Linked DNA regions of Caenorhabditis elegans. Each later gene encodes a partner of the first gene's protein in a complex. Each region holds a gene or a part of one and is shown on either strand. Other genes may lie near its edges.

Region 1 (5,360 bases):
AGCTTGAGAAGACCTCTAAAAGTTTTTCTACGTTTCTAAATCAATTTTAGATCAAAAAGTGAATTATTATATTGAAATAAGCGGGTTTTGCACGTTTGCCTAAACACAACCCTGACCAGTAGTTGTTAGTGTCTGTGAGATCGTGTATTTGAAGAAGGTCCTCCAGAAGTTGAAGTAGGATTGCCGGGAGTAGCTGAAAATAAAATATTGACAATATTCCTCCAACAACTCATTGACCACCATAGAGATGAGCATTAGGAGATTCGGGAGAGTCAGAGGGTGTTGGAGATTCGTCATTGATTCCTTGCTGTGGTGTATCATAAGCGTTGAAGAGGAGTGGCGAATCATTGTCACCAGAACGAGAAGCTCGTGGACGTCGACCTACACGAGGTGGCATAACTCTCAACATTTCAGCTGATGAGACAGGGTTGACTGGCGTCGAAAGTGTTAGAGTTGGAGCAGCGACAGGAGTTCGAGCAGATGTTAAAGTCTGGAAATACGGAGAATAGCCATAAGATAAATATGAAAAAGTGAATAGAAATAAGTGTTCGAAACACCAACAACACAAAATTATGTCACCTGCACTTCAGTGAATGACATTTCACATCGATTCTAAAAGGTAATGTTTAAAACATTTAATTTAAAAAAAAAAATTACCGGTGCAATGGAAGTACGCGTGCACTCTCCCGTACTTGGTCCTGGAACGTCTCTGTTCTCTGAAAAAGCTAGGTTAGGAAAAATTAAATAAATCATCATCTCACTTCTATCCGCCGATCTGAGATTTCTCCTAGTTATGCCACGTGGAGGCTCACTCTGATCCATCGGCTCCATTTCGTCAATATCCATCATTTCGCATTTTGGCACGATCACAGCTGGAAGTACCCTCTTGTTCAGTTGATCTGTCAGCCATTGGATATCGTCCTCACACAATTCTAATTGTGTTAATGGACGCCGTAACATTGACATACTGAAAAAGAGTGAGATAAATTATTTAATTTCATAAAAACTGTGAATTGGCGAAAATGTGTATTTTTGGAGATTTAATTTTTAAACGGCAAAATCGAACCTATGGCTTAAATATTTCTGTAATTAGCGAAAAAGTAAGGCAAATTCAACAGAAATGACAAAATATACAGATGGAAGTGTTTTTCCTCACAAAAAATAATTTCAAACAATTTCTCGGCAACGGCAATAAATATATATTGAAAGGTTTCATAAACCTAGATTCTAACAATAATCAAACCATGATAAAAGAGAAAATATATTATTTTAACCAATTAGAACCGAACCTCCAGCCCCTGCACTAACGAAAGAAGGGTCAGAGACAACAAAAAGAAACAACAGGGATATAAGGAAAGTTTAGAAAAGACAGAATTCGAGTAGTCCTCGTAAAAAACCGAGGAGCTGAACAAATAAGAAAGAAAAATAATACTGAAAACTGAGAGATGACAGTCTTAATCTCCGTGTTTGCCACATCTCAATTTTCAGAACAGCATCAGATGAAGAAAAAGGAAAAAACATTCAAAACCGGAAGAACTTGTAAAGCCTAAGTCGCCTTGACTTTGTCTTGACGACCTTTTTCCAATTGAAGGGCGATTTGTTGAGCGCGGAGGGTCAATCTCTTCGTGTTTTCCATGACTTGCTCGTGGATGCTGACGGATTTGACACCCATCACCACTTGTCCCAACTTGCTGTCAATTTTAGCTCCTTCGATACGATACGTTCTGATCAAGTCAACAATCCAGCGTTCAGCTTCCTCTTGGCTCATATTCAATCGTCGTGCTAGCATTTCTATGGTAATGCACTGATGAATGCGGCAGAACATCTCGAAAATGAGAAGGCGTGCAGACTCGCGGAAATCTCCAAGGACAGCAGTCAGGAAGAAATCATTGGAGAGAACCTCTTCGCACTTTTGAAGCATCTCTTGAGCCTCGTCGAAATCATATTTGATGTAGAGACAGGTGAGGAAATCAGTGACGGGATCCTTGTAACTATGGCGTTCCTGTAGAAAAACAAATAATTAATCATATTTTCATATAGAAAATAGTTAAACTCACGATGTCAATGACCTTCACCAAATCTTTCAAGCTGTTCTTCTGGCGGCTTTTGCTGGTAACAACGGCAACAGCCAGATAGCGGAGCAAATGTGGCGCCAAAACTTGGATTGCATTCAAATAAGGTTGCTGGTTCAAGAACATTTCGATAATCTCATCACGCCCTTTTGGATAATTGTAGTAGACGAAAAGTGCCCAGTGCATAAGCCACGCACGTTGCGTAACAAGTTCCCATTCCGTGTCGAATGGATTAGCATCGATGTAAGCACGAAGTTTCAGCAAATCGTCACGAGCATGTTCCCATTCTTGGAGCAGAATTTCACTGGCCAACTTTCCGTAAAGAGCGTTCAAATAGTTTGGATCCGCTTGATTGACAAGGTTGCGGTAGTAGTAAAGGCACACGGATGCGACGGTGTAATTTCCGCATTCGTACATGAACTTGCTGTACTTGAAGAGGGTATCGACCATGTCTACTGTGAACTGCAAGAATTAAGATTATTTTCGAAACTGCAAAGCAAAAACGTACATTGTGGTTTTGAGTGAGATGCTCCAAAATACGGACATTTCCATCTCTTTCTCTGTTGTTATCCATCATTTCCTTGACTTCCGGTATTTCCAAAATGGCAACAACGGAGTCCACCTTGCTTTTCAGCTCATCTCTCTCCTTGATAATTTGCTTCTTCTTAGCCTCAATTGCAGCCGGAATAGGTTTTCCATTGTAGGTCTCTATAACACTATCAATCATATTGGTCTTGGTCAAAAGCTGGCGGTGCATTTCGGTCAGGGATTTCTCATCGTAAATCTGCAATTATCATTGATATAAATAAATTCAGCTATTTCAGAATCAACAATTTATTGTTTAAATCTTACTCCTCGTGGTTCGATGAACTCCAAGAGCGGAATGATCAAATGAAGATCGAGAAAAGGCGCCATGCGCTGAGTCAGGTCGAATGTCGACATTTTTACCTGTAAAATAAGCGTATTAGTATAGTAATATGTTCTAATAAAACTCCAATCAATTTTCTTAACGGAAAACATAAATAAAACAAAAACAATGAAATTGCAGAAAGAAAATCGAGAAATTAGGAGAAATTCGCCGGGAAAGGAGGAAATGATAAACAACGCGCGCTATGGAATATCGGAGTGTCGTTGCTACTGCCTGCCAACACGAGCCACCAGCGAAATGAGAACTGCGAGAAGTAGAACTACGAGAAGAATAACCGAAAACTGCAATTTGCGACATTTGAAAAATATTTCGGAGTTTTTTGGTTCTAAAATTTCAGTTAAAAGTTTTTTAATTTAAAATATTCAAATTGAGAAATTACGAACGAATCATAATGTTCCTGGGATTAGGAAGAGTTACAAGATATTAAGACCCGAGCCCGTATCGAGACCCACCCCGAAAAACATTGTGTGGCTTTAAAGCAATGCTTAAATATTGTAATTGTGAAATGTCAGTTTAAAATCACATATTAATTTTTCGAGTGGGTCCCGCAACGATCTCAATAATAGTGTGCCAAATTTTACCGATGTGTCAGAGACACAAGTTTTATGAAATTTCAAATTTTGAAATGCACAGAAAAGCGAACAGTAAAATTTAGAATGCTTTATTATTAATTTTTGGGAACAGACGAGACCGTAAATTCATGTGGTGTCAGGTTGCCCCATTTCGGTTTGATCAACATTAAATTCGGGTATTTGATGTCAGGAGGAATGCCGAATCTACGAAGAATACGATTCAATTCATATGGACCTCAAAACTATGAAGGAGTAATGCATCGAATTATTCACAGACCGTGGAATGGAAAGCGAAGACCAAAAGTGTTCAAGTGAGAATATAAATTATTTGTCGTAGAGCTGGCGAGTGGGCTACATGAAGAGCCCTGATTCTTGAGGGTAGTGTGCCACCCAGTTGAAACAAAACCTGACTATATAGTTTGACTTGTGGGTCTTGGTTACACATATTGTTTCTAAAGATCTTGACATACCGTATTTCCTCTATTAGTTCAACAGACTACTTTACTTTGAAAGGTTATATCTCGGTTCATTTCAAAGATATCATAAAACTATTAACTACAAAACGATATAAAAAGAACTACCAAATATTTCATCAGTTAATTATTTTTGAAAACAACCGAGATATAAGCTCTCAACCGTGAACGATGGGGTGCCATACTAATTGAAGAAATTCTTGCTACCTATCTACTGTAGAGATTAAAGGAAAAAAGCTAAATTATTTTATTTGAAAAATAATAACATTCAGATACAAAATAGACGAATTGGATTGTACACTTGGATGGGATATTGAGAGCGACGATGGACAAATTGCAACCGTCAATTTTATCGAAGAATGCCTTGATTTTGTTGTATGGAAAAACGATAACTATTAATTCAATTTAAGCCAGTTGCTGTTATGTCAGAATACACTGAAATTGACCAAGATATCAAAATAAAAAAGGCAAACAATTTTTAGATCTCAATTTTCAAATAACCGCTAAAATTTGTTCAAAACTGTTTTGGTAGATTTCCAGCTGCCAAATCTTAACTTTTTGGGTGCAAACAGTTTTTTTTTCAAGTTGGAATGTTATATTTTGATATTTGGGTCTTTTCGAATTTTTAAAAATGTCCCCCACTAGCACTACTCCATTTTACCCTCTGTTTTATAAATGTATATGTTATTCAATTACTCTCAAATTATCATATTATTTATATTTTCATTCTAATCCATGCTTTTTCAAAGACTTCATTTTAAAGAAACCTATAATATTATCGAATCCAGATTATAGGAATTAGGCATGTTATGAGGTGTGTAACAGGCGCCAGAAAGCAAATAGTTAGTAGCGAACATTTTTATTTCCCGATAAAATGTTAATTAAACATTTTCAACAAAGAAAATTTACGGAGAAATCAAGGAAAAATCGAAAAAAAAGTGACCTTTCGTGAAACGTGAAAATGTCTTGATGAACTGATGAATCGAGAAGAAAAATCTATTAATCAATATTCATCGAACCAAAATCGACCAATTTCGCAGTATTTTGAATTCATATTTCTCTGGCAAATTGTTGAAATGGCAACGGAAAACAATACAGGTAAGAATTTTATGCAGATTTTCAGAGAAAATAACTAATTTTCAGATGTTTCTGAGAACCAAGAAGAACCTGATGAACTGAGTCCAAAAACGAAAGCTTTTGCTCCAACACTCGAGAAGGTCTGGAAGCTCAAATTTGAGAAAGTTCTCGGTAATCATTTGGAAATTAATTCCAATTTATAATTCATTAATTTACAGGTAGTGGCTCCTATTCCCGT
Region 2 (6,547 bases), on another chromosome or scaffold:
AGAACAAAACATTATTGCGCTCACCTTGTTTGAATCATGTACGATGCATTATCCGAAACGGCGAGCCTGTAGCACAATAGTGATAACACAGGGTTCCTCTTAACCAAAGCCGTCGGATCCGAAGATCTACTGGCGTTTGATCGAGTTGCCCGCCTTTTTCCTCACGGACTAGATCTCTACCCCACAATGGGATTAAACAAGACCGACCCTAGACAATCCTAGAGTCAGCTTAATCTGCCAGCAGAATCCACTGACCCTTGGGTGGCCGTCCCGTTTTTCAAGATTTCTAGGGATTTGCGACCTTTCTCACGTCACGTGCGTTACCCAGCACCGGCCAAGTGATGCAAGAAAGGGCTTGGAGGTCCACATCCAGTGAGTGCTTAGCTACAGCTAAACGACCACTGGAACAGGAAGTCCCCGGTGATGATCGTATTGAACTACACAACTTTATTGTAGTAAACTACACTACCGGTTATTATATCCAGACATAGTCTCCCGATGAAATACTCTCACTTGTTCAAGTGTGAAACCCGAACCTTGCTCTTGTACAGTTGATAAAACTAATGTAACTCAAAATATGAAACGGCCCAAGACTATGAAAGATATTTTAAGTTTCCAAGTTCTTTCTTAAATTCCAAAACTTCTTTGATTCAACAACTTTCTACTAAAACGCTCATAGCAAATCATCTGCAAGGACGAATCCATTGAGAATAATGTATACTAATCATCATGTTATAGTAAAAATTGCGTGATTTGTACAGTAAAAGGTCAGCAGCATTGTTGTGAGGACTACCCCCTTGGATTGTTGCTTGCTCTTTGATTGTTGAGCGGGCATCGACTGGAGCTCGGTATCGATTGTGCTAGCCAAATAAAAATCGATTAGAGGTGTGGCATTTGAAGAACATCAAATTTCTATAGATACGAAAGTGTCTATATGTATCAAGTAGCAGACTAAAAAAATTCCAAAAAAAATCGCCTACCCCACCTCTATTTTCGATTTTAAATAACCAGTCATTCGATTGAGCGCGCAATTGAGTGCCGCTAGGTCATCAAACAGGGCCGCTCATCGCAAAAACATAGCTTGACAAAATGCTGCTGTGTTACCGTACTAATCATGGAGAACCAAGAATCATCAATCATGAAAAAGCAAGACGATCCGCAGAAGAATAAAAAAGAACTGCTAAAAATCATTTGTGGTTTTGCCTTTAACTTTTCGTTTTATACAAGCTATCCCTTCCGTCGAAGCTGGCAGATTTTGTACCGGCAATACTCTCACTTTTTCCAATGTAAAGCCCAAACCTTTCTGTTGCACAGTCGACAAAACTCATCTAACTCAGAATATGAAACGACCTAACCCTGTCAGAGATATTTTAAGTTTTCAAGTTCTTTCTTAAAATCCAAAACTTCTTTGATTCAACAACTTTTTACTGAAACACTCATAGTCCATACTCTGCAAGGACGAATCCAAAGAGAATAATGTAAACTAATCATCATGTTACAGTAAAACTAACAAAAACACAACTCCGTATCCAGACATAGTCTTCCGATGCAATACACTCACTTTTTCCAATGTAAAGCCCAAACCTTTCTGTTGCACAGTCGACAAAACTCATCTAACCCAGAATATGAAACGACCTAAGACTATCAGAATTATTTTAAGTTTTCAAGTTCTTTCTTAAAATCCAAAACTTCTTTGATTCAACAACTTTTTACTGAAACACTCATAGCAAATCATCTGCAAGGACGAATCCATTGAGAATAATGTATACTAATCATCATGTTATAGTAAAAATTGCGTGATTTGTACAGTAAACGGTCAGCAGCATTGTTGTGAGGACTACCCCCTTGGATTGTTGCTTGCTCTTTGATTGTTGAGCGGGCATCGACTGGAGCTCGGTATCGATTGTGCTATTTACTTAAACAACTGATCGATAAATATATTTAAAATGTACTCGCTGCCGCGTTCTCCGGAAAAAAGGGCAAATGTCCGCATTTCTTCGTAAAGTCTGGTGTTTGCGTACACCCATTTTTCTTTCATTAAATATTTATAAATGCATTGATTCGCGTTTGAGTTTCAAAATTATCTCTATTTGAAATTCCGCGCAAATCTCATGGACGCGGCCTAGGATTCTCTTCGGTCGAGCGCTTGCAACGACGCTCCGTTCTCCCGCATGGGTGTTGTTTAGAGTTTGTTCATATTCCAAATATCGGTCCTATTTTTCAGATTTTCCAGCGTTTTCCAACATTTTTCCACAATTTTCGGAGAAAATTCTGTAAAAATTCAACTTATCTCGTTTTTCCTTCCATTTTCCTTTAAAATATCTCACAATTTACTCAATAAACCGTGTCTAAAGTTTCAGACTAGTTGGGTTACACAGAATGGTCGAAATTGACTTTAATAAAGAGAACGAAGAAGATTTTTCGGATCCGCCAGGATTTGTTGACGACGTCACCGATGATGGTTGGTTTTTTATTCAATTTTTTGAAATCAATTCCAAAAAATAGCCAACAATCAATGTTTTTATTTCAGTTCTCGTTCCTGACGTTCTCCACAAGAAACCAACTATCGATGAATTTGAAGACAATTGCGTCTTCATCGCGGGAATCCCAGTTGTTGGAGCTGACCGTCTTGGAAAACTCCAAAGTGTACTGAAGAAGGTTCTGGAGAGGTTGGATCCTGCAGTGAAGCTCTACATTCCGCCAAGTCCAGAAGGAGGTTGCTTGGTGAGATTCACGCAAACGATATCGATTTTAATATATTTTTTCCAGGGAGTTCTGCTCACCGAGTGGGCCGATCAACGATCCGCTCAGTTCGCCGTGAAAAGTTTGAATGGATATGCTTTCGATAAGAATCACACATTCACCGCCCGTTCTTTCAAGGATATGAAGCAACTCGAAGCTCCTTCCGATCACTGGACAACTCCAGAGAAGCAGGCTTATAATGACGTTGGAGATCTCTGGTGGTGGCTTCAAAACGAGCGTTGCCGTGATCAGTTCGCAATTTCCCACGATAAACTTGGAGTTCCAACTGTCGGAGTGTTCACCAATATGAAGGGAAATGATCCAGAGCTTGCAGGAGATGCCGATAAGGCTGAAAGAGCTGTAAGTTTTGAGAATTATTTGTTTTTAAAAAATGAAATAATTTTTTTTTCCAGAACTGGACCGAAACCGTCTTCACTTGGTCACCACACGGCTCCTACCTTTCCACGATCCATAAGCAAGGAATCATACTTTGGGGAGGCAAAGACTACGCTCGTGCCCACCGTTTCGCTCATACCAACGTTCAATACATTGATTTCTCGCCGTGTGAGACCTACCTTGTTACCTACGCCGCTCCGGAAGAGTCGAACAGCTGGGGAGACTGTGAGAAGGATAGTTTGAGAATTTGGGACGTCCGAACCGGAGAATTGAAGAAGGCCTTTTCCACTTTCGAGCTCACCGGAAGAACTCAGCTCCCAACCTGGCCATTCTTCAGATGGTCATTCGATGAGAAGTACTTCGCGTGCCTCAAGGCTCCAGAAAAGGATAAGCTTGAGCGTGAGCAGAAGATCAACGGAATTTCGATCTTCGAATCCGAGAAGTTCGAGCTCTATGAAGGCCGTCCCGTGAATATCGAGAATATCAAGCAATTCGAGTGGTCGCCAACATCCACAGTCCTCGCCTACTATTCAGAGTGCACTGACGCCGTTCCAGCCGAGTTTGGACTCTTGCAAGTTCCATCAATGCAGAGACTTCGTTCGGCTCGCGTTCACAATGTCGCCGACGCTCAGATGTTCTGGCAGAAGAGCGGAAAGCGATTGGCCTTCTACACGATGAGATTCAAGAAGAAGGAGTACAGAGAGACCGGAGAAGTCAAATATGTGGTAAGTTTTGAGTTTTTTAAAGGATTTTTTGAGGCCTATGACAATAATAATAATAATGATATAATTTCAGGGAGGATGCCAATACCACGTGGACATCTTCGAGATTGACAAGAAGGACGTTTCCCTTATGAATCTCCCACTTTCGGAGCCATTCATCCATTTCGATTGGGATCCAGAAGGCGATAAGTTCTGTGTGCTCGTGGGAAACACCGCTAAGGCCACTCCACAAGTCTACAAGATCGAGGCTAACAGCCACGCACCGAAGCTTGTGAGCAAGTTGGACGCTGGAGTTCACTTCAATGAGGTTCAATTCGCGCCGAAAGGAGGATGGCTTGCAGTTCTCGCCAAGGTGTCAGCTGGAGGAAACGTCTATTTCATTGATACTTCTTTGTCGGAGGCCAAGAGAACTAATGTTATAGAACATCCACTCTTCAATAAGGGATATTGGGATCCAACTGGAAGATACTTTGTGACATGCTCAACGTTGGGAGGAAGAGCCGGAGCCGATTTGGGTTACCGAATCTTCACATTCCAGGGAAGAGAACTGTGCAGAAAGAATCTCGACCGGCTCGCCCAATTCAAGTGGAGACCACGGCCGCCGGTGAAGTTGAGCGAACAGAAGCAGCGTGAGATCAAGAAGAACTTGAAGAAGACCGCCGCCAAGTTCATCAAGCAGGATGACGACGAAAAGTGCAGAGCCAGTCAGGAGGTTGTTGAGAAGCGACGCAAGATCATGGCTGCCTTCGATATTATTCGAAGCCGGAATCGCGAGCAACTCGACGCCACCCGTGACGAGAGAATCTCTCTTCGAAACGGCGTGGACACAGAAGCCCAACTCGACGAGGACGAATTTGTGGATGAGGAGATTACCATTGCGCTGAGCACAAGCAAAACACAAGCCCCTCTGACGGAGGAGGAGATGAGAGACTAATTAGTTATTTGATTTCCCGGTTTTTCCCCTTTTTTATGCGCTGCTTTTTCTTCCTGATTTCTCGAAGACTTGGAGCGGCGTCCCCTCTTTTTGGTGGTTCCACCATGTACTCGTTTTCGTTTTCCTCTTCATTTTCCCAGTCATGTCGTCATTTTCTGAACAACGCCTTTTTCTATGGCAAATTTAACTTTATGATGCCTGAATGGAGAAGGTTTTTTCAAGCTTCTTTTGGGCGGCCCTAATATTATTTAATTGTTTCTCTCTATCCACTTTAATATCTCTTGTTGCTCCCGTCTCTCCGTGTTTTCTGGTGGTTTTTGCCGATAAAATGTTGATGAATTAGTTGATGTTTCAGATTTTTTCCAAATAAACAGAAGTGAAAATTCATAAATTATATTTTTCAGCGCTATAAAATTGTGATTCTGAAAAAAAAATTCCACGTTTATTAAAAATTCCACAAATGGTGCAATGTGACGTGACGGTGTATGCACACTTTGCATTAAATTTGACGACAAATGTCTCATCGGGTTTTCTGTCAATTTTTAATCCACTTTCTCTATTTTACTCTGTTCTTTTTATACTTTTTTAAAATAAAATTTCTATAAAAAACTTTAAACTTCAATTTTAGCAATTAACCCGTTCATGCACTCATCGTTTTCGGAGCCAAATTCGCCGTTGAAAGAGGTGCTCGTAGATAAGTGGCAGACAGCCTCATGCAGCGATTTGGGCGAAGAATATGTAAAAGTAGGGGTTTTTAATGAGAAAATTTAACGAAAAAAAATCAATTTTTCAGCCGGGACCCCTGGCGAGAGCAAAATTCAACGCGTTGCGAAATAAACGCGAAGCAATTGATCGATTTTTGAAAAAGCACCGAAAAGAGGATCTCAGCTTATATATTGGTAATTTTTATTATAGAATTTGAATTTAAATTTATCAAAAAACGATTTTCAGACGAACTCCGCGATTTTGCGATTTCACCCGGCGGGCTTGTGGACGATGAGTTCCGCGCCGTCATTTGGCCAGTTTTATCCGCGAATTTAGTGCAAAACGATGATTTAGACGATGTTTCTTCGTCCTACGACTCGGATTTCGAATCTGCGCAGTCGGATTTCGACGAGGAGCCTGCTTATGAGGTTTTTACACTGAATATAAATTTTTTAAATATGAAATATAAGCTTGTGTTCCAGGAAAGCGAGGAGCTGACACTAGAAGATTTAAAAGGCCACAAAGAATGGAATCAAGTAGAATTGGACGTTCATCGGACGCTTTCCAGGTTCCCACCGAACATATCAGATACCCATCGAGACGTGCTTCAAACCGAACTCATTCCATTAATTGTACGGGTGCTCAGTATTAATCCACGGTTTAATTATTATCAGGGTGAGTGAAATGATGTGAAAATAAATATAACATAATTTAAATTCAAATTTTCCAGGTTTCCACGACATTTGCCTCACAGTACTTCTAGTTTGCGGCGAGGTAGATGCTCTCCCAGTCTGCTCAAATCTCGCGAAAAATGGCTCATTCAACAACTATTTGCTAAAAACTCTCGAAAAATCCGTAGTCCGAGAGCTGGATCTCCTCTACGTCATCTTGTCACGTGTCGACCCATCTTTGGAGCAAGTTATGCGATCCGTCGAGCTCGGCACCATGTTCGGACTCTCGTGGCCGTTGACCTGGTTCTCACATACACTGAAGCAATATCAGCAGATTGTTCGATTTTTCGACGTCTTCCTCGCCTCCTCGCCACTGC

What was found. The genes of interacting proteins can lie anywhere in the genome.
Region 2: eif-3.E (region 1) and eif-3.B share a complex: the UniProt entries of both Caenorhabditis elegans proteins name them as parts of the eukaryotic translation initiation factor 3 (eIF-3) complex.

What each region holds. Positions count from the first base shown.
Region 1 is NC_003279.8:10,639,262-10,644,621, forward strand, and holds eif-3.E (Eukaryotic translation initiation factor 3 subunit E), read right to left. Parts: upstream 3,021-5,360; 5' UTR 3,015-3,020; coding exon 2,925-3,014; intron 2,857-2,924; coding exon 2,581-2,856; intron 2,535-2,580; coding exon 2,058-2,534; intron 2,003-2,057; coding exon 1,547-2,002; 3' UTR 1,262-1,546; downstream 1-1,261. Other genes in the region: cdc-26 (Anaphase-promoting complex subunit CDC26), read right to left, coding at 126-193, 238-490, 658-716, 762-966; B0511.17 (DUF4283 domain-containing protein), read left to right, coding at 3,768-3,883, 4,318-4,444; tag-344 (Protein kinase domain-containing protein), read left to right, coding at 5,023-5,143, 5,189-5,293, 5,341-5,360. UniProt on the Caenorhabditis elegans protein: Component of the eukaryotic translation initiation factor 3 (eIF-3) complex, which is involved in protein synthesis of a specialized repertoire of mRNAs and, together with other initiation factors, stimulates binding of mRNA and methionyl-tRNAi to the 40S ribosome.
Region 2 is NC_003280.10:14,793,050-14,799,596, forward strand, and holds eif-3.B (Eukaryotic translation initiation factor 3 subunit B), read left to right. Parts: upstream 1-2,354; 5' UTR 2,355-2,379; coding exon 2,380-2,461; intron 2,462-2,530; coding exon 2,531-2,724; intron 2,725-2,769; coding exon 2,770-3,102; intron 3,103-3,155; coding exon 3,156-3,863; intron 3,864-3,933; coding exon 3,934-4,794; 3' UTR 4,795-5,186; downstream 5,187-6,547. Other genes in the region: tbc-20 (Rab-GAP TBC domain-containing protein), read left to right, coding at 5,437-5,538, 5,588-5,693, 5,746-5,927, 5,982-6,174, 6,230-6,547. UniProt on the Caenorhabditis elegans protein: RNA-binding component of the eukaryotic translation initiation factor 3 (eIF-3) complex, which is involved in protein synthesis of a specialized repertoire of mRNAs and, together with other initiation factors, stimulates binding of mRNA and methionyl-tRNAi to the 40S ribosome.